7 linked regions of the Xenopus tropicalis genome follow. The protein of the gene in region 4 interacts with the protein of the main gene of each other region in a pairwise test. Links are inferred from orthologs where the notes say so. Each region holds a gene or a part of one and is shown on either strand. Other genes may lie near its edges.

Region 1 (2,828 bases), on a different chromosome or scaffold from region 4:
TTAATTTGAAAAGGACTTTTATTATACAGCATTTTATGCCTGGGTGATAGGTCCACTATAAAAATAAAGCATCTAAACTGCCACTCAAAATTTCCCACTTGTGCTTACATTTTGTGTAAATATGTCTGAGCAGGCAGAAGATGGTGCTTGTGTATGTTTATGAAGGTTAACATGTAATAACACTTTTGAACAGAATATACTGTGCAGGGAGGTAGCAGGAAGGGAGGACAATTAAAAGGGGCTGGGGTTTAGTAAGGCATAACTTCATTATATAAATCCAACTATGCAGGTTCACTTTGGTCATAGTAGTGAGTGAGTTGAAGCTCAATTTACTGTCCGTGTTCCTTTTACATTTCTTATTAAAAAATTTAAAAATTACACTTACTCAGAGTGATTTTATAAGAACTTCTGCAGTTTAATATCTTACATCATGCAGTTTTAAATAGATTAGCAGTTTTATACTGCTAATACCGGTCTATTAACTCAGTCTATTAACAGTTTACTTATTCCTTAGGCTGGACATATACAGGTAAGACAGCATGTTGGCCTTTAAAACAGCAGTGGTCTGCAAAATTCAGGGAAATCTAAATGCATCACAAGAGGGCAGCCGTGCAGAGCAAATAGGCACCCACAGCCTAATGTGATCACTGGGCTGCAGGATTTTCAGCCAAAGCTAACAGATATCTGAACAAATAAACATTTACTTTAGTGTGTGATTTTTGCTCAATTGTTTTTGTCTACTGTGGCAAATGTATCTCTTTATGTCTTTTTATACCTTCTACTTTTCATAGTAATATTGCCAATTTATATTAACAGTGTATATTGTTTATTTAAATTAAAATTAAATATTCCTTTTACAGCACAGTACTGCCCAAAAGGTAGGTTGTAACCCAGCAGATTTTGAGTTGCTGACCAGCAGATTACTGGATAACTGTTCTAGTTACATCTAGTTACAAATGATTCAGATATTAATTATGAGGCCTGGGAAATGGGTGGTGTTTTTTTAAATATTAATATATGCTTTGTCTTGTAATGCAATGACCCAAAGACCCTATCTCAATCGACTTTTACTAAATACAGAATCCCATATCAGTAATGTCTGGGCACCATAGATATAATAATAATACTCCATTTCTACATTTATTATACATGTCTGAGGGGGCTGCCACAGTACCCTACGGAATTCTCAGTGAATGAAATATTGATCACAAATAGATATTTGTTGTGACAGTTTTGTTAAAAAAATGCTTTGCCAAGGATAGACTGTTTTAACTCTTATTCTTATGGTATTCAAAGAGGCACTGTTGTATATTAATAAATTAGACACTTTTAAGGTTATACTCTGAAATAAGTGTAGACATAACAGTTTTAAAGTAAGTTTTAAAATAATCTTAGTTCTTGTTCACTAAAATAAATAATTTATGTCCTGATCATTTACCTATTGTTAGAAAAAAAAAAGCCAAACACAGTTCAAGTCCAATGTGCAAACTCATAGGCAGACCCATCTATTGTGGTACCATTGTTCACCACATTCATTACATATTACAAATGTCATCATCTCCTCATCAGGGTTTCCTGTTCGTACCCAACCTGGAAGAAAAAGTGTCCCCCTAGATATCATTGTTACTGTACAGTTAAACTTATCACACCTCCGACATCTGATCTTATTGGTGTGAACACCATCAACTCCTTGTGGTAGCTGATGCTCCTGAACACAGGTTTCAGTGTAGTTTGCTCTAAGATTCCTTAATTCATCGCAGGCCATTTCCATAACACCCATCTCAGCAAATACCTTAGGACTTAAAGCTCTGGATAAAATCTGCATCTTTAAATGGGAATTTTTAGGATTTTTCAAATTGGAAATTTTGCTTCTGATGCAGTTTCTGTATTTCTTGGTATTACCAGCATGTATTTTATAGATGTTCTCTTCAATTGCCTTTGCTAAATTCTGCAGTTTCTCTTGGCATTCCGAGTCTTCTCTCAATGCTTGGTATAAGAGCTCTGTGCATTTGGTTCTCAGAGCCAAATCTTCAGCGTTTACTTTCTTAGGAACTTCATGGTCTGTAACAGATTCCTCATGGTTACCATAACAATCTTGTGCGCTTGAATCGGATTTGTTTAGATTGAATTTGTAAGAAGATGGGCTACTTGTGCTTTTATTAATCAATATTTTTTGTTCACTGTTGTGAACTTGATCTTGGATATCGACAGCTAGTTTCTCAGGACCTTCTTTGTTTTCACATATTTTACTACAATGCTCACAAATGCAGCTAGTTTCATGGCAACACTTTCTATATAGTTTTTTCCATTTGGACAATAAAACTTTTGCCTTTAATTTCAATGCTCCTCTTGGACAGGTCTTAAGAACTCTGTAAACAACTCTGACAATATCAGTACCCTGCAGAATTCCTGATGTGACTTCTGCTTTTTCAAAGTAAGTAAGGTGGAATGCAAGGTCTTCATATTTTCTCTCAGCCAGAAGATTTTCCACTTCTAACGCTCTGGAAACAAGCTCCTTATTAATGTCTTTGTGTAGCATTTCTACAGTTGGGAAAAAAGAAGGCAACATAAAAAATCTCTTTCTAGCTGAAGTGTTTAAATATTGGTCTTTTAAGTTTCTCAGTTCTTTCTCAGTAAGTTTTTCTTTTATGAACTGACCTTACATATCTGAACTTTTAAATGCAATTCATTTAGGCTGCCCAATAAAATAGGGCCCTAAAGCTATAAGGCTTTAAAGAAACTAATATTACTCAGCTACTAAGAAGAGTGGAGAAGCTATTTCTTTCACCAACTATATACTTTCTTTTAAAGGAGAAGGAAAGGCAAAG
Region 2 (4,154 bases), on a different chromosome or scaffold from region 4:
ATACACAATATAGGAACTCGTGGGTTAAATTCCCTTATTGGCCCAGGAAGTCCTGGTTAGTGATACCTATGTCCTTTGGAAGGGAAGTATCGTCTATTGGCCCAAGGGTGTTATGACAAGTTCATGTCCTTAGTTAATGAAATGGGAAGGAACTCATTCCTCTTCCTTTTTGGACTGGAAAGCCTGGAGCATATTATCCCAGTAAAGAAACTGTGTCCTAAGGGAACCAGCTCTTAGTGAATCAGGGAGACCTAATAAAAAAGGTATTAGTGACAATAAAGCTTATGCCATAGTAATCCTCAAAGGTGTAAGATAGTTAGGACGGATTAGAAAGAGCAGCACAGATTGCCTGGGAGATAGATATCCTAGGTCATACCTTGCCTAAGAGGCTTCTAATGGAGGAGATTTAGACAACTAGCAGGTATCTATCTCTACAGGTCAACTTAACTTTCTTTGCTGGTAGTTGTCCCTATGTAACCTGAATTTCACTACATCTCAAACTGCCGATTAGGGATCACAATTCTGCTGGAATTCTGGGAGGGGCGTGTTGCATTCTGGTTAAAAAAACATGGCAACTTACATCCAAAAATAAATTTTGCACATTGCACTTTAACAATTTAAAGGTAATCTTAAAACAGCCTTCTCTACTTTTGAGCTAGCAAATTAATGGTAATTTTTTTTACCTTTTACATCAACAGCAAGACAGACTTTGGAGGATGGCAAGTGGCTTTGAACCCTAAATTCTTCCATTCAAAGAAAAAAAAAGTATGCCCCAATATTTGGGAAAAAGAAAAGAAGGCCATAAACTGCAGACCCTAACTAATTATCTTGTGGCCATAGAGCTGTTTGCTCACCCCACACCACCAGGCTGACAGCAATCCACCCCTGATACTTCAAAAACCATAAATGGTTCCCCTGTACCTCAATGAGCACCTTAACTAACTGCCACCTCACTCTCAAAACAATAAACATCACAGGGGTGTAGGGGGCACATACAGCACTGCCTGGCTGGTAAGGAACATGAGTGGGGGAACCAGAATTTGCCACCTGATATACTGTAAGCTGGCTGGGGAGTACACATGGATCTAAAACAACCAAGTAATATTAGCCATAGCACCACAATGTAAGGTTACCAGATTTTCAGAGCCTTCAAAAATAGTTGTGTGCTGCTGCAAAAATATTAAGCCAGGCCCATTTTTGTTCCCACCCCTGACAAACCTTCCTCCCTATTTTACAGACATGCCTTCAGATTGCAAAGCTGCAATCCTGTACTCACTCCCTCTTACCAATTTTCTGAGTAGCTCTACTCTACCTCAGTCTGTAGGTTTGCGCTTCTCAATACTATGTTCAATGTTGGGGCTAAAGAATCTGTGCAGGGTCCAAAATCAGCCTCTTTCAGATTCTTCAATGCCAAAGCTCTGCTTTGAATTGTAATTTAAGAAATGAATGCCTACAGACCAAAATAGCTTATTCTTACAGATCGCCAGTGTCACCAGTGCTAGATTCAAATACCAGAGACATTTCCCAGGGCAGTTTTTCCGAGGAAAAGTTTCTTAAACGGGGCAGATGGGAACCTTGCCATCCCTACCAGCTCTACCCGATTCAGAATGTGAAGCACTAAGGACTTCATACAAATGATGTAATATGCTTGAGTGGATTAAAGATTTCCAAGGACCAAGGCCCTAGTCCCTAGGACACCATATTGGAACGCCTAATGTTTTCACAAAACTAAAAAGAAAATTTGCTTCCAAAGTGATGAAAAAAAGAATCAGAAGGACAAAAATATGCTGGATTTTGGGTGGGGCTGGGCTTTTGAATCTTTGGGGAAAGTTGGACAGGTAAAAGTACAATTTTTAAATTAATAAAGAAGTTTTTTTTTTGATAAGGGAAAAATTAAGAAATAAGCAAAATACCATTTTCATAAGGGAAGAATTAGAAATTAAGCAAAACACCACTGTGTAAGTACAGCAGACAACCAGTTTCATAAGTGTTTTAGAATAGTAAATGTTAGTTATTCCAAAAACTAACCCTCAGTCTGTAGCCCTTAAACCACTGCCTTGGCTTGCCTATGGTAGCACCCTTCACAGTTTAACCTATGAAACAATTAAATGGAAAGCTAGCTCGCTCACTTTAAAATGTTTATTTGCCTTTAAAATGTGTCAAATCTTATTACTCCCTGTCATCTTACGCATCTCCGAGGTAGAGTCTTGGCCACACTTGATTGACATGACCAGTGGATCCTCTGTGGCACCAAAGAACGCGCTGAAGGTCAGAAACAGGTAATGGTTCATAGTGGGATTGATGGACTGCCATTCTGAAATAAAAAAAAAAAAACAATTTAAATTTGCTAATGGATGTAGTCTTGCTTAACTTTAACATATATAACATTCATATATAATTATATAACATATAATTGTTTAATAATATTTAAATGTGAAAATAAAAGGAAAAATTGCTCAGCAGAGCACTCTGAACAATTTTACATTAAGTTGTGTGGGTGGTTACATTATATTTAAAGTTATTGATTTCAGTTTTGTGTTTCAGTTTTGTTTAAGTTTAAGCTTTAAGTATACCAAAAAAGTGCCTTAATAATATTTGAAACTCTGAAATAGATACTTCAAGCAAAAGTTATCAATAATATCATGATGACCTTAAAATAGAGAATAAAAAGGTGTTTGGCTATGATTTATTCCTTTATTTAGAGGGAAAAGGGGTAGTGGTTGGTTGGTTCTATGATACTTTAAATTGAAAAGAAAATAATGTTCTGTACTGTGGTAAAAACAATCCCCGTCCAAAACGAGGAGGTCCCACAGTTGGAGAGAGGGACTGTCCAGAGAGAATATGAGAAGGTGAGAAGACACCATTGTCTATTTGGCTTGGGGAAATTACTTCTGAAGTGGTAACTCGGTGAGAACCAAGTCTTTCTTTCTGTCTAGTAGCCAGGCAAACTAGCATAAGGACAGATTCTGTTGAACTCATTTTGAACTCATTTAATACAGCAGTTAACTATGGAGTCTGTAATACCCCTTCTCTATATATGGGTCAAGGGCATAGCTACAAAGGAAGCAGACCATGCCTTTGCAGGGGGCCCAAGAGGGTAGGGTGCCCAGTAAGGTCCTATTTACAGGGCAATATATTGTGGCAGAATTAGTTCATTTTACAATGTTTTGTGGCCCTAAACTGAACTTGCTGTGGGGCCCAGTAACATCTAGTTAGACCCTGATATGGTTGGTTCTCTGGTTCAGTGCTATGTCATCCTTGAGTTGCTCAGCTGTTACTAACTGCAACAGGATCTCTGAGTTTGCCATCAGCTACCCTATATGATACCCAGCTCTGAACTCATTCAATGTTAATTGTAGATCACGTTTGTTTTTTCCTGGTTCTGAATGTTACTCCTTTATTCTGGTTCCTGTCCTGTTCATTCATTTTCTGATTTTGACCCCGCCCCCCCCCAAAAAAAATGGATTTGGATTGCCTTACATGACATTACAACAGTCCATGACTGTCAAAGGAGCCTCATCATCTTCTGTTCCAGCCACGTAATTGTTCTCTGATGAATTGTGATATGGGAATCCCTAAATTTGAGCTTTAAACCTAACAGCTTTTGTATTCTGCAAGAATCACTTTAAAGCATTTTAGGGCCATGGCCTGGCCTTATTCTATGATGACCACATCATTGTGCCTCTATGGATTCTTTAACTTGAGCCAGGGTAAGAGATGTGTGGAAGAATATTGTACTGTAAGCCTGTTCAAGAGCAGAAGGAAGCAGTTTCAAAGGAATAAAAGGAATCATTTTGGAAAATCTGTCAACTCTCATCAGAATAGTCATCATACTTAAATAATGAAGTCCAGGACTTTCCTCTGGGCAGATGTTGAATAAGCAGTAATTTCAGCTTGCATCCCCATAGAAGGCAATTAAACTTGTCTGGCAAGATCTATTGTACATAAAACGATGAAGACAAAGTATTGTTTTGTGCACGATATTCAAGTATATCATGCTTTATTATTCCCATTAGAAGCTTTTCTACTACATAGTAACATTGTGTGTCATTTTAAAAAAAAGACACACGTCTTTCAAGTTTAACCTTTTATGTCTATATAAAAACTGCCTAACTGCTAGTTGATCCAGTGGAAAGCAAAAAAACCTTCTGAAG
Region 3 (3,766 bases), on a different chromosome or scaffold from region 4:
CATAGAATTGCACAGTTATTTCAGCCTCATTATCTGGTTTAATATTGGTCCGAGCAGTGCTCAAACTGTGATCCAGCGAGTGAATGCAAGACTCCTGCTTTGCAGGCTGGTACATGTCATGTAATGACTCATGGAAAACTTTGCTTCCCTTTTCTGTCTTAAAAACAATTCTATTAAATTCATCAATCTTTGCTGCTAGCTTTCCATTCGTCATTGCCATTTCAGGTCTGAGTTCAGATGCATTAGGATAGTGCTCTGACATTATTTCATCAGAACAGAAGTTGTTAGAGCATGGCAACCTAGAAACTGAAGTGGTGGAATTCCATGCATCATTTTTAAAAACTAAACTGTCATAATCTGCAATGTTGCCCAGGAAAGGTTTTACTGGGTTTGATTTTTCAAGTGTTCCAATGTCATATAAACAACTTACATGGCACAGTCCATTGTCATTGTTTCTCACAGCATCAGTGTGGTTAGTCGCCACATGATAATGATCATTGTTTACATTCGAGCACGTAGAAGGACCAACCTTATATGTATCAAACGACAAGAAACTTGCAATGTTGCTTGAGAAATATGAAGGTGGAAATGATGGCTCCTGCGAAATCAAGATTGTGCTACCTATTTCTGACTGCTGACTGAGAGAATTACACATCACAGGGCTGTTGACATAATTCTCATTGGACCTTTCATTACTTTTTGACATTTTTGAAGAAGACAGGTTCTTATCTGTTTTGGCCACTTTAGCTTCTGCATCATAGTTCCCACAAGCAGCTGAACTGGCACCCATCCTATTGAAAGGAAAATGAAACAGAAGAAAATACATTTGATAGTGAATCTATAGTAATAGGATAAAGTCACTGTTCTTTAATACTCTTTTTAGTCTTTGTGTTGCTCATAAGCTAGGACCATGTTCACCTATTATCTCACCTATCTTTAGCTCACCTATTATCTAGTCTTAAAACAAAGGGGCTGATTTACTAACCCACGAATCCAACCCGAATTGGAAAAGTTCCGACTTGAAAACGAACATTTTGCGACTTTTTCGTATGTTTTGCGATTTTTTTGGATTCTGTACGAATTTTTCGGATCCAATACGATTTTTGCGTAAAAACGCGAGTTTTTCGTATCCATTACGAAAGTTGCGTAAAAAGTTGCGCATTTTGCGTAGCGTTAAAACTTACGCGAAAAGTTGCGCATTTTTCGCGTAAGTTTTAACGCTACGCAAAATGCGCAACTTTTTACGCAACTTTCGTAATGGATAGGAAAACTCGCGTTTTTACGCAAAAATCGTATTGGATCCGAAAAATTCGTAAAGAATCCGAAAAAATCGCAAAACATACGAAAAAATCGCAAAGTACCGATCATTACGAAAAAAACGCAATCGGACTCCATTCGACCCGTTCGTGGGTAAGTAAATCAGCCCCAAAGTCTTCTGATAAATTTATATAAAGATACTTCACAGTCTGACTTCAGTTGTCTTTATGCTTATTTTCTAAAAACACTGCATGCATATCAGTGAGTGTAACCAGAAACTATTTAAGGGAGCAGCATGGTGGCTTAGTGAGTACCAGTTCTGCCTTGTAGCACTGGCGTCCTGAGTTTGATACCGGCTTGGGGACTATCTGCAAGAAATGTGTATGTTTGTCTATGTTAGCATGGTTTCCTACCACATTTAAAAAAAAATACAGGCAGCTTAAAAAAACTTGACCCTAGTGTGTGCAAATATGACTTTAGATTGTAAGCTCCACGGGGGCTTAAAATTATATATAAGGCTAAACCTGCCTGATGCAATGGCTCCGAGTGCAGGCACAAGGAAAGTCTGATGCTAATGTAGGGGCTGATTCTCAGCCTGCATTAATCTGTAGGCCAAGAATCAGCCTGTTTAGATTTTAGTAATTATATAAAGGGGACCTGCCACTCAGACATAAAGAAGCTGTATACTGAGAGCCCCTTCCAAATTAAAAATAAAACCCAATATCTATTTTTCATATCCATAAAATCCATACCTGTTATAAGCTATAAAAATCTCAACTGTCATATATTGCCTGCCCTGCCTTTAGGCATAGCATTCACTTTCACTTTTATTTCTACACTTGCCAGATGTCACTGCTCTCCTCACATTCCCTCTTTCTACTTGCTGTGCATAATTTTTAGCCTGTGAATGGGGATGTGCCTAAGGTACCTCATTCTAGTGCATACATTACATATTGGGATCATACAAAGTTTGCGTTGATAACAGTTTTCACAAAATGTTGCCTGCCTGTATGCTCAAACTGTGCATGTTCCAAAATAATGAAAGAGACCAGATTTAAATAATATATGTATAATAAGAAATGTTTATTTTGCTCAACTAACACTATAAAAAAGATTTGAAAATATTTCTTAGGGTGGTTGGTCCCCTTTTAGAATAGGCTGCATTGGACTTTAGCTTGTTCTGCTTCCTGTTCAAAATACTTCTATTATTAATGCCGATATTATATGCATTCAGTAGGACAGGAGCTGTGTACGGTGATGCTGTTTGTCATCAGCTGATGGTAGAAAGCTAATTAGTGTGGTTCCCCTGTATGTAACTGGCATTTAATCCAAATACAAAGCCAGCATTTATAAATCTAGCCTACAGCACAGCCATGCTTTGTCTATGCTTGTTTGCAGCTGAAAGAAGCAAGAAAGGAAAATAAGAGAACAAAGTTGACCTTATTTACTCTGCGAAACATATTTATGGGTAGATATTGATCATTTTTTTAAAAGATGTTTTCGCTTGAATTTAGCTATGAGAGAAACATAACCATTAACATGTTTTTCTAAATACAGTACAAAGGCTCCTTTTCTAAATGCTGACCGCAAATCAGGCCAAGCAATCTCTTTCTTAATGTAAAAATTAAGGATAAGAAAATATTTGGCAGCATGTTCAGCCTCTAGGGAAAACTGAGACTGATGATTTATGTCATGTGATCATCTCTTGAACATCTTGGAATCCTGTCATTTAGGTGATAATAATGTTCTGTTTTGTATTGGCAATATCTGTATAAAAATAAAAACAGGATAACATCTGGCCATGAAGTTCTGTTGCCTACTCAGTATTACTTTATGCTATATAGGAACTTATGGGTTTATTTCTCAATTTTCGAGTTTGTGAACTGAACTCGTGTTTAAAAAAAAAAATTGAATGCTTGCTTAGTTATAAATAAACCAAGATTTCAGACTTTTGGTTCCAAGCCCATAATGCAGTCCATCTTTTACTCATGCCCGCCCTTAATAATAACATAAATAACATTTACTATATTGCCATAATAAGTAATCTTAATGTAATTCCAGGAGTATCAATGCAATTCAGCCATTTACCCTAAGTCATATATAAATATATTTCCCTCATCATTCTGTGCCTTTCTATCAAACCCCTAGAAGTAGCAGCCCCACTTTTAGGAATATATAATATATAATTATGCTCCCTTTACTTCTGTTACTTAAGAAAGATAATAATAGTAGGTTCATAATTAGTGGTTGTCAAGACTTGAAGCAAAAATACCTCTATAAACAATTCACCATTTTGCCTCCAAATATATCGAGACACATGACTGGAGCATGGCACAGAATGTGTTTTAGTGGATATTTTTATTAAGTAATGGGATATTAAGTAACTTGTCCAAGGTCACCGGAGCAAATGTTACTGCCCAGTGTATTATCCTATTTGGTACTTCTCATAAACCAGCTATGGTAAAGGAAATGTCATAGACAGTATTTAACACACACCAGCAGAACCTAA
Region 4 (4,763 bases):
CAAGCCATTCTACTCTGTACAGTGACACTCTCTCCTTGAGAATAAACTGTAGCACTGGCTTAGTAAATATGACTTCCATATGGGCTGCAGGGGTCATTTATGATTGTGTGTAGGGTTTGTATGGTGCCCAGTGTGTGTCTGTGGGTAGGGTTTGTATGGTGCCCAGTGTGTGTCTGTGGGTAGGGTTTGTATGGTGCCCAGTGTGTGTCTGTGGGTAGGGTTTGTATGGTGCCCAGTGTGTGTCTGTGGGTAGGGTTTGTATGGTGCCCAGTGTGTGTCTGTGGGTAGGGTTTGTATGGTGCCCAGTGTGTGTCTGTGTGTAGGGTTTGTATGGTGCATAGCCTGTGTTTGCCTCTCCCCCATGTACCGCCTGCACCTTGCCTCTCCCCCATGTACCGCCTGCACCTTGCCTCTCCCCCATGTACCGCCTGCACCTTGCCTCTCCCCCATGTACCGCCTGCACCTTGCCTCTCCCCCATGTACCGCCTGCACCTTGCCTCTCCCCCATGTACCGCCTGCACCTTGCCTCTCCCCCATGTACCGCCTGCACCTTGCCTCTCCCCCATGTACCGCCTGCACCTTGCCTCTCCCCCATGTACCGCCTGCACCTTGCCTCTCCCCCATGTACCGCCTGCACCTTGCCTCTCCCCCATGTACCGCCTGCACCTTGCCTCTCCCCCATGTACCGCCTGCACCTTGCCTCTCCCCCATGTACCGCCTGCACCTTGCCTCTCCCCCATGTACCGCCTGCACCTTGCCTCTCCCCCATGTACCGCCTGCACCTTGCCTCTCCCCCATGTACCGCCTGCACCTTGCCTCTCCCCCATGTACCGCCTGCACCTTGCCTCTCCCCCATGTACCGCCTGCACCTTGCCTCTCCCCCATGTACCGCCTGCACCTTGCCTCTCCCCCATGTACCGCCTGCACCTTGCCTCTCCCCCATGTACCGCCTGCACCTTGCCTCTCCCCCATGTACCGCCTGCACCTTGCCTCTCCCCCATGTACCGCCTGCACCTTGCCTCTCCCCCATGTACCGCCTGCACCTTGCCTCTCCCCCATGTACCGCCTGCACCTTGCCTCTCCCCCATGTACCGCCTGCACCCTGCCTCTCCCCCATGTACCGCCTGCACCTTGCCTCTCCCCCATGTACCGCCTGCACCTTGCCTCTCCCCCATGTACCGCCTGCACCTTGCCTCTCCCCCATGTACCGCCTGCACCTTGCCTCTCCCCCATGTACCGCCTGCACCTTGCCTCTCCCCCATGTACCGCCTGCACCTTGCCTCTCCCCCATGTACCGCCTGCACCTTGCCTCTCCCCCATGTACAGCCATCTTGGAACGACACTTCCCATATGGAGATCAGATGGGATGCCCAGCTTTGCCATGTTTGGGAGTAGCTCGCTGTGGGTATAGGGTGCCAGGGGTGAGACAGTGGCGCATACTGGAGATGGTGCCCCAGGGGAGTCATTTAGTGCGAGGAGGGGAGAGATAAAATCATAGAGAGGAAAGCTTGAATGGATAGACATGGCGGGTGTGATTGGGCCATATACATGGTTGCCCAGATAGCCCAATGGCCTGTGTGAGGGGACAGGGGGGCACATCTGTCCATCCATACACCCCCAAAATAAGTCACTGACAGCAGAACTGGGGCAATCGAAACTGACACCCAAGGCAAATACCTTTTGCCCCCCCCTTCCCCTTTAATCCACTTTTATCCCAATTTTCACTCTCGGAAGACTCCTCCGACCCCCCCCTCTCTTCTCTCCCGGCCTCCAACGCCGACTCCCCAATCCCAGCGGAACGGCCGAGCCACATGCAGCCACCGGAAGCCACGAGCCAATCAGTTCCGAGCACGTGGAATTCCCAGTGACGATCTCAGGCAACCGACATGTCCCAACGGGTCCGGTATCTGCCACAGGTTGGTGACGACCCCCCCCCACCTTTGTTTAGCAGATCCAGGTGTTCTGTGTAAAGGCCAAACCCATTTCCTCTTGGAATTATGGGAAGGTAAAACCTTCAGGATCCTGATTGGAGGGTCCTGTATGCACATATAGAAACCGTAGCCGCTGGGGGAGGAGCTAAATAGTAAGGGGGAGTAGCCAATAACATTGGGGGGGGCTGTATCCGTGTGGGTTGATTTTGGGAGCAGGTTGGCCGAGTGTGTGCGAGGTCAGCTGACCTCTAATGGGTGCAATTAAGCCAATTAGTGAGCACTGTAGGCATCCGCCGGTCTCTATTAATTGCCCCACCCGGCCGTGCGTTCTTGATGAATAAGTCCTTCCCCCGTGGGTAAGGTAAGTCGCTAATTGCCCTCGTTACTTACAATTAAATGAATAATTACAATTAAAGGGAAAGTACACCTTCTTTAGCCACGTGAGTGGTGTAATGTGTCCGGATGCCGAGGCTGAATGCCAATCAGGGTGGAATGTGGGCTGTGTGGCATATTTGCTCTCCTCCGAATTCTGATAGGGTGACTTGCCATACCTGGGAAAGGGGGGGGAGCTGGGCAAATGCTGCTCGTAAAGGGGCGGTTTACCTTCAAGGTAATTTGTGTATGTTATAGAATGGCCATTTCTAAGCAACTTTTCAACTGGTCTTCATTATTTATTTCCTATAGTTTAAATATTTGCCTTCTTCTACCAACTCTTTGGGGGTCACTGACCCCGGCAGCCGGAAACAATTGCTCTGTGAGGCTCCAGTTTTATTGTTATTGTTACTTTTTATTCCTTATCTTTCTATTCAGCCCCTCCCCTATTCATATACCAGTCTCTCATTCAAACCACACCCTGGTTGCTAAGGTAATTGGAGCCCCAGCAACAGGGTCACTGACCCCGGCAGCCAAAACCTATTGCTCTGTGAGGCTCCAGTTTTATTGTTATTGTTACTTTTTATTCCTTATCTTTCTATTCAGTCCCTCTCCTATTCATATACCAATCTCTCATCCAAACCACTCCCTGGTTGCTAACATAACTTGGACCCTAGCAACCAAATAGCTGCTGAAACTCCAAACTGGAGAGCTGCTGAGCAAAGTGAAATAACTAAGAAACTACAAATAACAAAAAACGAAGACCAATTGCAAGTTTTCTCAGAATAGCACTCTCTGCATCACTAGAATATTGCACTGTTTATTGCCCGGTGGCTCATTGGTCATTAACGTTCCTAACCTCACTGCCTCTCCATGTGACTCCCCAGCAGCAGCAGCCGTGCAGCCAGTAATGGGAAGTGATCTCTGCAGACTGTGAAGCTGCACTGTGGTATGCGACTGTGTGCAGACCAGGAAGTCATTTCTACACAGCCGCCTTCGCCCCTCCCAAACCCCCGTGCTCTACACCTCTCCTTCTCTCCTTGCCATTCCTGCTCTCTGACATGGGACGGAGTAAGACGCTTGGCTGAAAGCTCCCAGACGGACCAACTGTTCTAGAAGAGGTGAGCTTACCCTTTATTGTAACCCCCTCTCCCAGGCCCCAGAGAGTTAATCTGATCTCTCTTTCTTATCGAAATATATATAACTTTGCCTTTAATTCAGTGTAACTACTGCGGCTATTTAGAAACTTATGCTCTGTGTGTATTTAGCACTTACCCTATCTAACCCATTCTATAGCACTGGTCCAGTCTGCAGGGAGGCAGAATTGTGTACAGAACCATGTACAGAATTGAATTTTGTAGCTGGACCATGTACAGAATTGAATTTTGTAGCTGGAACCATGTACAGGATATAATTTTGTAGCTGAAACCATGTACAGGATATCATTTTGGAGCTGGACCATGTACAGAATTGAATTTTGTAGCTGGAACATGTACAGAATTGAATTTTGTAGCTGGACCATGTACAGAATTGAATATTGTAGCTGGAACCATGTACAGAATTGAATTTTGTAGCTGGAACCATGTACAGAATTGAATTTTGTAGCTGGAACCATGTACAGAATTGAATTTTGTAGCTGGACCATGTACAGAATTGAATTTTGTAGCTGGACCACGTACAGAATTGAATTTTGTAGCTGGACCATGTACAGAATTGAATTTTGTAGATGGAACCATGTACAGGATTGAATTTTGTAGCTGGAAACATGTACAGGATATTATTTTGCAGATGGAACCATATACAGAATTGAATATTGTAGCTGGACCATGTACAGAATTGAATTTTGTAGCTGGAACCATGTACAGAATTGAATTTTGTAGCTGGAACCATGTACAGAATTGAATTTTGTAGCTGGACCATGTACAGAATTGAATTTTGTAGCTGGACCACGTACAGAATTGAATTTTGTAGCTGGACCATGTACAGAATTGAATTTTGTAGCTGGACCCTGTACAGAATTGAATTTTGTAGCTGGACCATGTACAGAATTGAATTTTGTAGCTGGACCATGTACAGAATTGAATTTTGTAGCTGGAACCATGTACAGAATTGAATATTGTAGCTGGACCATGTACAGAATTGAATTTTGTTCCTGGAACCATGTACAGAATTGAATTTTGTAGATGGAACCATGTACAGGATTGAAGTTTGTAGATGGAACCATGTACAGAATTGAATTTTGTAGCTGGAAACATGTACAGGATATTATTTTGTAGATGGAACCATATACAGAATTGAATATTGTAGCTGGACCATGTACAGAATTGAATTTTGTAGCTGGACCCTGTACAGAATTGAATTTTGTAGCTGGAACCATGTAAAGGATATAATTTTGTAGCTGGAACCATGCACAGAATTGAATTTTGTAGCTGGAACCATGTACAGAATTGAATTTTGCAG
Region 5 (4,732 bases), on a different chromosome or scaffold from region 4:
TTTGATCTGTATTTGGTTAGCAAAGACCTCCTCTAGTATTCTGATATCTCCCATGGCCATGTACAATTCTCTCAAAAGTAGAAGCACAGCACAAGCACTCTTAATTCCCCTGAATACATTGATGGGTTAAAATACAGTCCTAAGAAGAGCTAGGTCATGTAGAAAGCCCGTCTCAAATATATTTTAGATATAGCAACTTACATTATAACTTTTTGGCAACGCACAAGGTAACTGAGCAATTGGATTACAGGGTTTAAAACTCATTATAAAATTGCTAAAATTAATATAAAATAAAACACTACACTACATAAATTGGTATACTTACTATACAGGTGGATTGTATAGTCTTTTACAGACAGTGAATTGCTTAAATGGGATCTCTTATCCAGAAACCCATTATACAGAATGCTCTGAATGATGAGAAGGCCACCTCTCATAGACTGCACTTTAAGCAAATAATTCTAATTTTTAAAAGTGATTTATTCATTCTCTGTAATAATCAAACAGTGCCTTGTACTTGATGGTACCTAAGCTGTGTGAATCCATATTGGAAGCAAAACAATCCTTTTGGATTTATTTGACATTTAAATGATTTTTAGCAGGCTTGAGGTGTGGAGATTCAAATTACAGAAAGATCCCTTATCTGGAAAACCTCAAATCCCAAGCATTTTAGATAAAAGATTCTATGCTGGTACAACAAACTAGGCTTCTGTGCCATAGGTGAAGGGGTTAATGAGTATTTATGCTGATGAATAGAACAATATTGTGTTACTGTGCAGTAAGCAGTACCTGGAGCAGATTTTAGGGACAAACATCTGAAAAACACAGGTGTGACTTTTAGTTGGGAAAACACACATGTTTCCTATTTACTAAGAGGATGTTACATCTTCCTATTTCTGAAAACAATTTGAGGAGAACATTACTCAGGTTCTGCGTTACTCTCGCCAAAAGAGAACAATGTATACTGCTTACTTCCCGCTGTATAAAACTGCACATATATGTCCTATGTTGGTAAAAAGTTATAACCTAGTGCAGCTGGCAGGGGATTCTGGGAGTTATAGATTCAGTAACAGTAGGTTAATGGTGCCTTAGTTAAAGCTATTTATATTGTATCACATTCACTACACAGAACACTAAAAAAGAAATAAAATGGCATGTATTGCTTGGCATGGCACAATACTTTCCAATTGATTTCTTACGGTAGAATGAGCTTTTTGTCATTGTGTCAGTATATGAATTACTAAGACCTGCGTGCAGTTTCTCTATATCCATATTAGCAATGGGCAGAACCGGTTTAAGTTGTACATAGACAGTGCAGTGATGCTGTCGCAACTTGGAAGGATCTGTGAGTGCTAAAGTTTTGGAGAGAGTTTGTGGTCAGTACTGTGTTGCTAAGCCAGCCCCCAGCTCACATTACACACTATTTATATCCTCTCTTAGCTGTTCCCCCATTAAAGCAGCTCCTTGGGACCACCTTCTGTTGGCTTTAACCTCTCCTACTCTTGACATCTGAGCAGCTCTGCAAAAGCTCATCTTGGTCAGAGCAAACTGTTTAAGCACAGGAGACTGGCCACCAGGCTGAAGACCTGGATTATCTGATCTGTACTGAAAGTGTGCCGTTACTGTTTGGGAAAAATATCATTTTACAGTGAAAAGTGACAGCGTTGTGGAGTTTAATCCTGCCAGAATCTCAAGCCTGCAACTTGAAACTTGTATGCCATGGAACACACACTGTTTGGCTGCCTGCGCAGCCCCCATGCCACCTCTCAGGGCTTACACCCCTTTGCCCAGTCTTCTCTTGCCCTCCATGGAAGATCCGACCACATGTCCTATCCTGATTTATCCTCTTCTTCGTCCTCTTGCATATTAACTGGCTATCCCAATGAGGAGGGCATGTTTGGGAGCCAGCATCACAGAGGACATCATCACCATCATCACCATCATCATCATCACCAGCAACAACAGCACCAGACCTTGCAATCAAATTGGCACATTCCTCAGATGTCATCTCCTCCTGCCTCCACCAGACATAGCCTTTGCCTTCAGCAGGAATCTGGACCTCCAGATCTAAGTGGCAGCCCCTCTATTTTGTGTTCAAACACATCCAGCCTGGGCACTAACAGCTCAACGGGTGCAGCTTGTGTGACAGGGGACTATGGCAGACAGACCCTCTCCCCGGCAGAAGCAGAAAAGAGGACTGGCAAAAGAAAAAGTGACAGTTCAGGTAAGGATATTTGTGTTTACAATGTCTGAGCATGCAGCAAAAAGGAAATATATATTAGCTGGTAATTGTGATGCCTTGTATTGGATTAGCACTGCATTGCAGAAAGTGGCACAGCAGTGGTGCAAACCTAAGCAACTGTATGCCTAGGATATGCCATTAGCATCCATGCATACGGCAGCTTCTTCTGACAGTTCAAATTGAGCAGAGAGGGGTTTTTCTGTTGCTCAAAGCTTTGTGTTCGTACTCACTGGCAAATGCATTTAGCAGTGTAAAAAGTACTAGTTAGACACTTGCTAACTAGCATGTATACAATATTTCAGACATGTGCAGCTTGCTAACACTATAGGAATGTTATAAACGCTATGCAAGACATATTATAAGTAAAAAGTTTCTATTTAAACAGGAAATACTTGTATATTACATTACAATACGAACGGGCAGAAATAGTTCCCTCTTTTCAAGTCTTTCCTGGTGTATTCCTATGTAACAATCCTGTCAGTGTCAAAAGAATATCAAATTCCTTTAATAAGCAAGATTGAATCCAAGTATCATTTTTTCATTTGAAATTACAATCTATTTATTGACACAATCCTTCAGAAACCCGTGCTGCACTCCATCCTTATTCAGCCTGATCCAGTATCACTGCAGTATTATAACAAGAAATGGAGATCACTTGTTGACTCCTGTTTCTCTCAGCAGCCAAACTATTACAAATGCAATTTTATGGCAGATAAAAAGACAATTGGCACATTTAGACTGCCCATTCCCCCTTCCTGCAGGAATAAAATAGAGAGATTTCATCCCAGGGAGGGCAGCCTTTTTTGCCCGTCCCAGCAACTGCAGAAAGGTGTTAATTATATTATCAGCTAACACCTCCTCTGGGAAAGCCATATACACAGTCTGCATCAAATTAAGAGTTTAATTAACAAAGTGCAAAGTGATGGGTAATATTTGCTTTAATTCAGTCACATAAGCCACTTCAGTGAAATCAGTTCTTTTGAGCCTATTACATCACTTTCACTGATCAGAATCTCTGGCAGACCATAATAATATATACATTTTTAATCCGCTGCATATCAATAGTGATATGAATAACTACCAATCAATATCTAGAACTGAAAAAGTCAAATGATTCATAACAGACACCTTCCGTCATACCTGAAATACCCCAAACAGACATGAACACTAAAATCCTCTTTTCCATTTCCATTTAAAATGGCAAATTCTAGTAAAAGAAATACAATATACGTGATACTTGCATATCAGTAGCATAAGAAATGAACATAGTATATCACACTGAATATAAACATAACTGAAATATGTATTATATGTTCCAGTTCATTGGTGATTTCGATGCTTATCATATATATATTTATATATATAAAGTGGAGTAGCTTTATCCTGCTATTAGATGATGGCGAGAGATAAGTGCAACTATATTAACTCACTAATCAGACAAGTGGTCAGTGGAATAAGTGAAAGCGAAGTCATAATTGGAGATGACCTGCTTACCATTCCTAATTAAGTCTTATGAGATATTCTGATTGGGATGAATGGTTATTCAATAATTATAAGACATGAATGACAAATGAGTAATTCGTGACATATGTTTGACCTTATTTTTTCTTCCAGGCTTGGGGCTTTAAACAAGACAACTTTTCAAAAGTTATTATTCCAGTGTTTAATTAGTCTGTCTAGGCTTGCAATGCTTTTAAACCTCTCCCCCCCCTTCTGTTTTGTCTGTTTAGGGAAGATAACATTGGCAAGCGTTTAAAGAAAATAAATTACCAGGAAATCTATACCTAATCACAGAGCAAAAATGACAAACTAGCTTCATTAACCACGGTGTATCCAATAACTGGGTCCTGGCGAATTTGAGAAACTGCTGTTCTTTCTTTTAGAGTCACTTCACAAACAATTGTTTTAAGGGCATTTGGTTTCTGGAGAAATGAAAGGATGGCTTTGTGAAACAGTATACCTATCCAAATTATACAATCTAGAGTCAAAGTTAATGGCCCGGACCGTGTCCTATCCATTATATGTGCATATTTCGACATAGAAAAATCTAAACTATGGGCGTCTAGGGGTTGCTGAACTGCAATCATCAGCCTTTAGCCTTAGGCTGTGACGAGAATGCTGTAGTTTATCAAGAGCAGGAGGGCCCCAGGTTGGATGTCAGTCCTGTAACACTATTTTCCTGTATCTTTTAAGCCTCGTCTATCACTCAAGTTACCTTTTGTGGGGTGGGGGGGGGGGGGATTTGATGAGAATTTCACAAGCGATGTTAGAAAGCTGGTACTTATAATTAAGCCTACTTTGGCTAGTGATACCCTTCAGCAGACCACCAGAATAGCACCTAGAGAAAGTGCAATTAGAATAATCCTTATCATACCCTTTCAGCCATGTGCGCACTTCTGACTGTTGTGCATTCTGTCTGCAGAATCATGTACAATTAGGTTAGTGGTCTAACATTACAAGCTACAATCAAAGGGCTTTCCTCTGGGACCA
Region 6 (4,946 bases), on a different chromosome or scaffold from region 4:
TAAAGCTCATGCAAAGACAATGTTATGATTGATGTAAAAAAGGTTTCATTTCTGGTGTCAGTAACTCTTTAACAATACTTTATCCCTTAATATCTTGGCATTAAAAAAATAATTATGAATGTAAATTGCAAATGTTCATCAACTTATTTTGAAGTTTTCTTATCCTTTAAAGAATATCCTGGCTATAAAATACATTTTTCTCACATACTTACAGTCAGATTATAATAAAAGCTACTATTGCACGTTTCCATCTGAGAATAGCCCCTGCCTCAGTAGAGCTTCTAATTTAACCTCACTGGCCAAAGAACCCAGTTATACCTTGAGCATTCTTTCCCAGGCCTCTTCCTTGCACATAACCCATCTTCTGAAGAAGTTTCTGGCCGATTCCCTTGGTATGCCGCTCCCAAGAACCAAAATCTGTGTTTGACTTTATTCCTCCAGCAAATGTCCTCTGTGATGGTTTGAAATTACCACCCTGTAAAATACACAAACTGAAACTGACTGAAGCTTTGGAATGAAACAATGAATATAGTGTGTCTTTCTTACAATAATAGTTCTCTCTCTTATAAATGGATGGTTCGTCCTTAAGTTAATTTTAAGTAGGTTATAGAAGAGCAAGTTCGTAGCAACTTTTCAATTGGTCCTCATTTTTTTTAAAGAGGGTCACTGACCCCGGCAGCAAGAAACTATTGCTCTGTGAGGCTACAATTACGCTGTTATTACTTTTTTTTTTTTTTTTTTAAACTTATCTTTCTATTCAGACCCACTCCTGCTATTATTCCAGTCTCTCATTTGAACCACTGACTGGTTGCTAGGTTATGTTGGTTCATAGCAACCATATAACTGTTAGAATTCCAAACTGGAAAAGTGCTGAATATAAAGCTAAATAATAATAAAAAAAAAAAGAAGACCAACTGCAAATTGTTTTAGAATAGCAACCAAAAGTTGGTTTAAAGAAGAACACCCCTTTTAACCCTGTCAGACTATTACTATTGGGAAGTACAAACACTCCTTAGACTCATCCTACCGTCCTTAGCTTCTTTGCCTCAAAATCCTTTGGGAAAGTTTCCCTCCTTGCTTGCGTTTCACTGTCGGAATCGCTATCAGATTTTTCTTCTGCAGCAGGCTTACGGATCCCAGCGCTGATAAAATTGACAGGGGCCGAGTAGTCTCGAGACCTATGAAGAAATAAAATGAAAGGTGTCCGTATTGGGTGGTGCTGTATCATTAACTGCACGCAAGAAGGTGACTATTACTATTGAGTGACCCCTCCTACCAATCTAAAGACCCACCAACCTTTTCCCCCCAAAGCTTGGCCTCTCATCATCAGAGTCCCGCTCTGCCCACATCCCATAGGTCGCCTCCTCTTTTGTTTGGAAATGCTTTCTGCGGTTGGGGTTAAACTCATTCTGTAGGTCCCAGTCCGTGATCTCAAAGTTCTCCATTTCCACTCCATCGCTGTCCTCATCTTTGCCATAAAGGTGCGACATAGACATGGTGCCTGAGAGAGGGAAACAATATTTAACAATATATAAGTTGTTGTGTTTTATAGAATGGCCAATTCTAAGCAACTTTTCAATTGGTCTGCATTATTTATTTGTTATAGTTTATTAAATATTTGCCTTCTCCTTCCAACTTTTTAGGGCTCTGGCACACGGGGAGATTAGTCGCCCGCGACAAAACTCCCTGTTCGCGGGCGACTAATCTCCCCGAGTCACCGGTGGGATGGCACACGCGGCAGCACGATTTCGGGAAATCGACGAAAAAGCCTTGCGAGGCAACTTCAGTGATTTCCCGAAATCGCGCCGCTGCGTGTGCCATCCCACCGGCGACTTACATTGTCGCCGGTGGGATGGCAACTGGCGGCAACTCGGGGAGATTAGTCGCCCGCGAACAGGGAGTTTTGTTGCGGGCGACTAATCTCCCTGTGTGCCAGAGCCCTTAAATGGGGGTCAGTGACCCTGGCAGCCAGAAATCTATCGCTCTGTGAGGCTACAGTTTTATTGTTACTTTTTGTAACTTTAATTTTCTATTAAGGCCTTCTCCTATTCATATACCAGTCTCTTGTCCAAACCACTCCCTGGCTGCTAAAGTAACTTGGCCCTAGCAACCAAATAGCTGGTGAAACTCCAAACTGGAGAACTTCTGAACTGAAAATAAAATAACTAAAACACTACAAATAAAAAAATGAAGACCAATTGCAAATTGTCTCAGAATATCACTCTCTACATCAAACTAAAAGATAACTCAAAGGTGCCCAACCCCTTTATGGCTATACAGGGTTGTGCCTTGGGGCCCCCCAAAACATTCCATGTCCTTTTCCTTGGATTTAGGTAAAAAAAAAAAAAGACAAGTGATAGAAATAACCTTGAACAGTATATGTCCAGTCGGCTGCGTTCCCCCTCCTGATTGGCCAGAATGGCTCAGTAGCCACAGCCAACCAGAGAAGTACTACTACTTACAGTGACCCATAAGGGGTTAAAGAGGGCCATGCTGAAGTGAGTGATGGGAGAGGAATGGGGCATGGAGTGAGTAAATGGCATGCTATGGAACTGGATGCATTACCCAGATACAATGCAGCAATCAATGTAACAGCATTTAGTAAGGGACAATAATCACAGGTCAGGATTTAAACTACAACTCCCATAATCCCCTCAAACAGTTATGGGGAAGAAACTAATAGCGCAGCCATTGACACCAGACAGGTACACATGGCCATTCCGCTCCTGTGCGGGAACCAGACACCCCGTATTCACTGAGCAGCCCCGGCTTAGTTATACCAAACACAAACAAGTGGGGCTAAATGCTAAAATAAGCTTCCATGAGGCGTCATAGTTACCGATATTCCAGTTCCAGGTACCTGAGCCCCGGGTTCCACAGGCTGCAGTAATGTACGCGGCACACTTCCGGTCACGCCTACACAATGACGCGTACGGGACGCGACACCGGAAGTAGGGTTCTACAAGCGTGGGGTTGTGTCAGAATCAGACTGGCAGGATTGGAATAGGGGCTACGGGCTAGGGGCTTGGTTGCTAGGGGCTTGGTTGCTAGGGGCTTGGTTGCTAGGGGCTAGTTTAATATGCAAGCAAGTGGGGTTCTGCAAGCTTGGGGTTGTGTAATAATCAGACGGGCAGGATTGGAATGCTAGGTGCTTGGTTACTAGGGGCTAGGGGGTTTGGTTACTAGGGGCTAGGGGCTTGGTTACTAGGGGCTAGGGGCTTGGTTACTAGGGGCTAGGGGCTTGGTTACTGGGGGCTTGGTTGCTAGGGGCTTGGTTACTAGGGGCTAGTTTAATAAGCAAGCAAGTGGGGTTCCGTAAGCTTGGGGTTGTGTAATAATCAGACGGGCAGGATTGGAATGCTAGGGGCTAGGTGCTTGGTTACTAGGGGCTAGGGGCTTGGTTACTAGGGGCTTGGTTACTAGGGGCTAGTTAAATAAGCAAGCAAGTGGGGTTCTGCAAGCTTGGGGTTGTGTAATAATCAGACGGGCAGGATTGGAATGCTAGGGGCTTGGTTACTAGGGGCTAGGGGGCTTGGTTACTAGGGGCTTGGTTGCTAGGGGCTTGGTTACTAGGGGCTTGGTTACTAGGGGCTTGGTTACTAGGGGCTAGTTTAATAAGCAAGCAAGTGGGGTTCTGCAAGCTTGGGGTTGTGTAATAATCAGACGGGCAGGATTGGAATGCTAGGGGCTAGGTGCTTGGTTACTAGGGGCTAGGGGGTTTGGTTACTAGGGGCTTGGTTACTGGGGGCTTGGTTACTAGGGGCTAATTTAATAAGCAAGCAAGTGGGGTTCTGCAAGCTTGGGGTTGTGTAATAATCAGACGGGCAGGATTGGAATGCTAGGGGCTAGGTGCTTGGTTACTAGGGGCTAGGGGGTTTGGTTACTAGGGGCTTGGTTACTAGGGGCTTGGTTACTGGGGGCTTGGTTACTAGGGGCTAGTTTAATAAGCAAGCAAGTGGGGTTCTGCAAGCTTGGGGTTGTGTAATAATCAGACGGGCAGGATTGGAATGCTAGGGGCTAGGTGCTTGGTTACTAGGGGCTAGGGGGTTTGGTTACTAGGGGCTAGGGGGGTTGGTTACTAGGGGCTAGGGACTTGGTTGCTAGGGGCTTGGTTACTAGGGGCTAGTTTAATAAGCAAGCAAGTGGGGTTCTGCAAGCTTGGGGTTGTGTAATAATCAGACGGGCAGGATTGGAATGCTAGGGGCTAGGGGCTTGGTTACTAGGGGCTAGGGGCTTGGTTACTAGGGGCTAGTTTAATATGCAAGCAAGTGGGGTTCTGCAAGCTTGGGGTTGTGTAATAATCAGATGGGCAGGATTGGAATGCTAGGGGCTTGGTTACTAGGGGCTTGGTTACTAGGGGCTAGTTTAATATGCAAGCAAGTGGAAAGAAGCGATGGGCAGGGATTGTTTTCCCACGCAGAGTGGCGAATCTGTGCCCCTAAGGGCAGTGCCAGGCTCACAGTGTGTGGGGATCTGAATCACTTAATGTAGTTTGTTAATAGCGAAACAATTGAATTAATTTCTTTAATTGGTTGTTTTCCTTTGTTAACTATCGGTATGTTACAGAACAGCTTTTCCTATTGGTCTTCATTATTTATTTTTCAAAGTTTTTTAATTATTTGCCTTTTTCTTCAGACTTTTTCCAGCTTTCTAATGGGGGTCACTGACCCCAACAGCCTTTGCGAGGCTATTCATATTCCTGTCTTTTATTTAAACTATTCCCTGGTTGCTAGGGTAATGTGTACCCTAGCAACCAGATACCTGCTGAAACTCCAAACCGGAGAGCTGCAGAAAAAAGTAAAACAACTTAAAAAGTACAAATAATAAAAAAAGAAGACAAATTGCAGTTTGTCTTAGAATAGCACTCCCTACATCATACTTAAGGTTAACGCAAAGGTGAACAATCCCTTTAAATCTGTCAACGGCTTCTGTCCCCCTCCTCCATA
Region 7 (4,928 bases), on a different chromosome or scaffold from region 4:
CTGCAGCTCCAACCTGGCCCAAGGAAAGTCACGATACCGAAGCTTGAATGAATCTGAAACTTTTGTACTTGTTGTGACAAATACATTTTTTTCGCACAACTTTTCGCACAAATTGTTGCAAAGTACGAAAAAGTCATGCAAATTCATGAAAATATTGCAGAAAACAGCAAAACACGCATAAAAACGTATTCGGACCTGTCGTGCTTTAATGAATGTGCCCCTATGTGTTGGGCATCTGTGCCAGCCAAAGGCAAACACAGCCTGGGAAGATCTGTGCCCCCAGTAGCTCCCCATCTTATTTTCTGCTGATTCACTGCACATGTTCTGTGCTGCCGTCACTTACTGAGCTTAGGAACCAACTTTCAATATATATTGTATATAAATGTAACAAAATTAGGCTAATTGGTAATTTAGACAGATTATTACTACATGGCAGCTCAGAAAACAGAGCATTTAGCATCAGAATTTAACAATCATCTCTGTAGCATCAGCTTATTTGACAGACAAACCTCATTTTCTGCTTGATAATTTGTGACGACACTTTAGCTGAGCTTCTCAACAGATACTTAGAGCACACTAAGCACAGACTGTCGCACTTTCCAAGATGGGGAGCTCCGGAGCTCAGGGTTGGACTGGGCCGCCGGGACACCAGGAAAAATCCCAGTGAGCCACGGCGGCCCAGACCCGACCCTTGCCGGCACTCCCCCTACCCGACCGCTCCTCCCCTAATGTGTTAAATTTTTACGCGCTTGGGGAAGGACGTTGGATGGGGGGCCCTGCGAGGGGGGTTGGGGCGAAGCTATACATTGTCTAATTTCTTTTAGGTTCTGTGCAATAAAAAATATCTTGTGTGCACATTTTTAGAAACAAATACTTGAGTGAGTGGGTCAGAAAAGTAATTTGTGTTTTCACTCAGATTTGTGCACCAAAATTTAGCCCTGGGAACACTATTGGGGAGTTCCTAAAGGCCCCAGAATGGAACAACTTGTTTAGGCCAATGACCCCCCCCTTTTTTTGTAACGTTTGTTTTTATTGATTTTTTACATGTTTCATTATCACATTTGTTTTCAAATTTTACATGCGTAACATTTTGTATATTAGGCACATTATCAGGCTTAATGTCCTTGTGATTGTTCAGAGTTATAGTATACAACAAAAAAGGAGAGGTGGGAAGGAGGAGGAAGGAGGAGGAAGGGTGAGGAAGGGGGAAAAGGGTGAGGGGGGGGGAAAGAGGAACAGTATAACAATTTACGCCCTAGGTCTCCATATTAAGTTAAACATTGTTAATAGGTTCAGTGTTTCCTTCACTTATTTATTGTTTTTAGATTGTTTACGGGAGTCCTACCCATAGCCTTGTGTTTGAGAGAGGGTCTTTATTTAGTATCCAGGTATCCCATATCTTTAGGTATAGCTGTTAATTTTCCAGTTGGTATTTAAGAGCTTTGATGGCGTGTATATATTCTGTTTTGTCCAGGACTTTCTTGATAGATAGCGAGTTCGCTTTCCATTGGGCTGCAATATGAATCCTAGTTGCCATGCATATATGTTGTGTGAGGTGTTGTGCGGGGTTGTTAAGGTTTAAAGTTTGTGTCTTAAGAGCATAATACTTTGTGGCATGGGGGAATGGTGTTAGGGTCACTGGGGAGTGCCCAAGAATCTGGCAGCCCCCAGTATTTTAAGATTCTTTCTCCATTGAGAACAAGGGACGGTTCAAAGGAAAAATGTACAAACCAGAGACTATAGCCGAAAATAAAGAAGAGGTGACAGCTCTGCCCAACAAATCAATGGGATAAACGATAACAAATACAATTGTGCACTAACACCGATTTACTCGTAGTTATAGTTAGTATTATAAAATTCATTCCTTTATACAGACTAGCACGTCTCTAAACTGATAATTATTAAGTTGCTTCTTTACAGAGAATAAGAAATTTGCCAAGAGTTGGCCAGGCAGGAGGCGGGGCTACATTGCGCTCCCTGTTGCTATAGGCTGCCAGCTGTGGGAGTGCTTTGCTATTGGACGCTGCACCCTTCCTGCACACTCGGGATCCCAGAGGGGCGGCTGTGTGCGAGTTATAGCGGGGCCTCGTTGTTCCTTGTGAAGCTGAATAAGCATGGAGCCGGCAGCAGGAGTGAAGGTGAGGTGGCTGCGTACACCTGCTCCCCATTCTGTGTAGCTGAGCTGTGAGAGTGCGAGTTGGTCGCACGTTGTGTCACTGTCGCTGCGTTTCTGCCTTTCGCGCCACCTTCACACGCTCGCTGCCCATTCATCAGATGTTCGCGGTGCATTTCGGGATATGAGCAGAGCGGCGGCTCCGGGTTACACTCTGCGCCTTGTTTCTATACTGATATACAGTTATATAAAGTTATATACAGCTATATACAGTTGTTATATACAGCGCTGGGAGCGCATTACCGCCCTGCCGCCTGCGTTATACCGAGTGCACTGCGGCTGGCGGGGGCTTCTGGGAGTTGTGTGGTTTCATGTTGTGGATTTCGTCAAAGACCTGGAAAATACTAGAGATGCAACTAAAGTGTTAATCACCTACCTTATAAATGTATTCTTATTTTTAGGACAAAAACTACTCAGGGGAGGAGGGAATTCCGCTGGCAGAATGTTACTGGCCCCACTGCTTGGGCATTGCTGCCTGGGCCGCTCTTATAGGAGATATGGGGGGGGGGGGGGGTCCCTAAAACTTCCTCACATGGGAGCGCACACCCTGTGCCCACAAGCCTGGTTCGAAACATAAACATGAAATAAATACAATAAGAATGGCCCCCTTACCACTGACATTGATTCATGCAGTGTAGTTACCATCAAGTACAAGGTGCTGTTTTATTTCTAGAGAAAAGGGAATCATTTTTAAAATGCTTAAATTTGACTATGGGAGGAATCTGGAGCTTTCTGGGCAAACAATGGAGTGAAAGCGGCGGGGGCGTAGGCACTGGTGGTTCGGGGGGCGTAGGCACTGGTGGTTCGGGGGGCGTAGGCACTGGTGGTTAAGGGGCCGCATTAACGAGCCGATGTGGTTCTCGATCTGACAGAAGAATCAAATCTGTGTGATGGAGACGTGGCTGATCTCAGGCCAGATGTTGGTTGGTGCCCATACAGGGGCAGGTAGGTCCAAAGGACCGCTATAGGCAGCTGAAATGGGCCTGTGTATGGCCACCGTTACACACCAGGGCTGTTACAGGATGGACACGCAACCCTGCATTTTCTATTAGTTTGTACACCGTGGAATGCAAGAAAACAACAAAAACAAATTTGTGTTTCACCTACACTTTGTGCCCACGCACCAGTGAGTACAAACTAATAGCAAATTTTGCATTTCTTCCTGTTCCAGCGCAGGGGACTGCAGGTAAGAACACTTGTGTAAGAGCCGTAGGACTGTTCATATCCCTTGGCTGCAATTACTCTAGCCCCCTGATCCATTTTGCTTCTCTCTGAAGCAAGGACATATCCCATTTTCCTCCCCATGTGGGTTTACCCACCACTTCTAAAGCTGGCCATACACACACCGATAATATCATACGAAACCTCGTTTCGTACGATATTCGGTGCGTGTATGGCAAGTCGTTGAGTTGACCGATATGGCAGGAGGCTGCTGATATCAGACGATTCGCCGATCGGCCAGTTAAAAGATTTTGATCGGGCGCCATAGAAGACACCTGACCAAAATCTGCCGTCAGGGCTGAATCGGCAGAAGGAGGTAGAAATCCTATTGTTTCTACCTCCTTATCTGCCTGTTTCAGCCCTGAAGGTTAGTGGCGGATCTGACAATCTTTCAATTGTGGCCACCTTAATAATAAAATATTTTACCCATCAGAGGTGCGGGCTAACAGACTGACTCCGGGAAGAGGAAAACAGTATGCTTTTTTTTTTTTTCCCCAAAAAAGCCCCTTAGTTACACTGGAAGGCCACGTTGGGGCACAAGTATGCGCATAGTGAGTGAATGCCCCAGCTTGCTCATCATGTGCTTTTGGTTCATGTAGGATTGGTTGATGTTTTCCCCATTTAGAAAATTAAGCTGCCTGTCAATAATTTGTGGTAACCTCGGTTTTCTATATGTGAGCATAAAAATGGCCCTTTGTAAGGCACTGGGGCCATTACCATAGCAGTTGATTGCTATTTTATATACACTATTCTGCCTAGCTATGTAAACTGAATTACCTATGCCCCACCACCAACTAGTAACTGGGTTACCTATGCCCCACCACCAACTAGTAACTGGGTTACCTATGCCCCACCACCAACTAGTAACTGGGTTACCTATGCCCCACCACCAACTAGTAACTGGGTTACCTATGCCCCACCACCAACTAGTAACTGGGTTACCTATGCCCCACCACCAACTAGTAACTGGGTTACCTATGCCCCACCACCAACTAGTAACTGGGTTACCTATGCCCCACCACCAACTAGTAACTGAGTTACCTATGCCCCACCACCAGCTAGTAACTGAGTTACCAATGCCCCACCACCAGCTAGTAACTGAGTTACCAATGCCCCACCACCAGCTAGTAACTGAGTTACCAATGCCCCACCACCAGCTAGTAACTGAGTTACCAATGCCCCACCACCAGCTAGTAACTGAGTTACCAATGCCCCACCACCAGCTAGTAACTGAGTTACCAATGCCCCACCACCAGCTAGTAACTGGGTTACCTATGCCCCACCACCAACTAGTAACTGAGTTTAGCACTCTTCTTAGGGTGAAGAGCTACTAGTAGCAGCTACTTGTCACAGCTACTAAAAAAGACAATGCTGCTCATTTACTGATAACGGTCTCTACCTGTGTTTTAGCAGAGGCAATTCTCAGTATTGTCTGTGGCAGGGGAATTTCTTGTATTTAGTAGCCACTCACAAGTAGCTGCTGATAGTAGCACAGTGTGTTTTCACTCTTAAATTGGTTCCATCTTTTCCTGTG

What was found.
Region 1: the proteins of card9 (region 4) and tceanc interact in binary tests that used the Homo sapiens proteins (3 or more experiments, as listed by UniProt). The two-hybrid records come from large-scale screens. The link is inferred for Xenopus tropicalis from reciprocal best matches to the Homo sapiens genes CARD9 and TCEANC.
Region 2: the proteins of card9 (region 4) and dual specificity protein phosphatase 13 interact in binary tests that used the Homo sapiens proteins (3 or more experiments, as listed by UniProt). The two-hybrid records come from large-scale screens. The link is inferred for Xenopus tropicalis from reciprocal best matches to the Homo sapiens genes CARD9 and DUSP13B.
Region 3: the proteins of card9 (region 4) and kiaa0408 interact in a two-hybrid assay, tested with the Homo sapiens proteins (2 studies listed by BioGRID and IntAct). The two-hybrid records come from large-scale screens. The link is inferred for Xenopus tropicalis from reciprocal best matches to the Homo sapiens genes CARD9 and KIAA0408.
Region 5: the proteins of card9 (region 4) and meox2 interact in binary tests that used the Homo sapiens proteins (3 or more experiments, as listed by UniProt). The two-hybrid records come from large-scale screens. The link is inferred for Xenopus tropicalis from reciprocal best matches to the Homo sapiens genes CARD9 and MEOX2.
Region 6: the proteins of card9 (region 4) and tfip11 interact in binary tests that used the Homo sapiens proteins (3 or more experiments, as listed by UniProt). The two-hybrid records come from large-scale screens. The link is inferred for Xenopus tropicalis from reciprocal best matches to the Homo sapiens genes CARD9 and TFIP11.
Region 7: the proteins of card9 (region 4) and cdca7l interact in binary tests that used the Homo sapiens proteins (3 or more experiments, as listed by UniProt). The link is inferred for Xenopus tropicalis from reciprocal best matches to the Homo sapiens genes CARD9 and CDCA7L.

Annotation. Positions count from the first base shown.
Region 1 is NC_030678.2:105,786,801-105,789,628, forward strand, and holds the end of tceanc (transcription elongation factor A N-terminal and central domain-containing protein), read right to left. Parts: intron 2,542-2,828; 5' UTR 2,540-2,541; coding exon 1,490-2,539; 3' UTR 999-1,489; downstream 1-998.
Region 2 is NC_030683.2:55,074,994-55,079,147, reverse strand, and holds part of dual specificity protein phosphatase 13, read right to left. Parts: intron 2,315-4,154; 5' UTR 2,314-2,314; coding exon 2,189-2,313; intron 1-2,188. UniProt on the Homo sapiens protein: Dual specificity phosphatase that dephosphorylates MAPK8/JNK and MAPK14/p38, but not MAPK1/ERK2, in vitro. Exhibits intrinsic phosphatase activity towards both phospho-seryl/threonyl and -tyrosyl residues, with similar specific activities in vitro.
Region 3 is NC_030681.2:67,958,501-67,962,266, forward strand, and holds part of kiaa0408 (uncharacterized protein KIAA0408 homolog), read right to left. Parts: intron 792-3,766; coding exon 1-791.
Region 4 is NC_030684.2:6,411,770-6,416,532, reverse strand, and holds the start of card9 (caspase recruitment domain-containing protein 9), read left to right. Parts: upstream 1-1,738; 5' UTR 1,739-1,916; intron 1,917-2,108; exon of another isoform or gene 2,109-2,292; intron 2,293-3,190; 5' UTR 3,191-3,424; intron 3,425-4,763. UniProt on the Homo sapiens protein: Adapter protein that plays a key role in innate immune response against fungi by forming signaling complexes downstream of C-type lectin receptors.
Region 5 is NC_030682.2:36,890,726-36,895,457, reverse strand, and holds the start of meox2 (homeobox protein MOX-2), read left to right. Parts: upstream 1-1,569; 5' UTR 1,570-1,719; coding exon 1,720-2,224; intron 2,225-4,732. UniProt on the Homo sapiens protein: Mesodermal transcription factor that plays a key role in somitogenesis and somitogenesis and limb muscle differentiation. Required during limb development for normal appendicular muscle formation and for the normal regulation of myogenic genes.
Region 6 is NC_030680.2:15,107,210-15,112,155, reverse strand, and holds the start of tfip11 (tuftelin-interacting protein 11), read right to left. Parts: upstream 2,952-4,946; 5' UTR 2,840-2,951; intron 2,666-2,839; exon of another isoform or gene 2,368-2,665; intron 1,502-2,367; 5' UTR 1,497-1,501; coding exon 1,297-1,496; intron 1,179-1,296; coding exon 1,028-1,178; intron 476-1,027; coding exon 319-475; intron 1-318. UniProt on the Homo sapiens protein: Involved in pre-mRNA splicing, specifically in spliceosome disassembly during late-stage splicing events. Intron turnover seems to proceed through reactions in two lariat-intron associated complexes termed Intron Large (IL) and Intron Small (IS).
Region 7 is NC_030682.2:39,660,290-39,665,217, reverse strand, and holds the start of cdca7l (cell division cycle-associated 7-like protein), read left to right. Parts: upstream 1-2,008; 5' UTR 2,009-2,114; coding exon 2,115-2,138; intron 2,139-4,928. UniProt on the Homo sapiens protein: Plays a role in transcriptional regulation as a repressor that inhibits monoamine oxidase A (MAOA) activity and gene expression by binding to the promoter.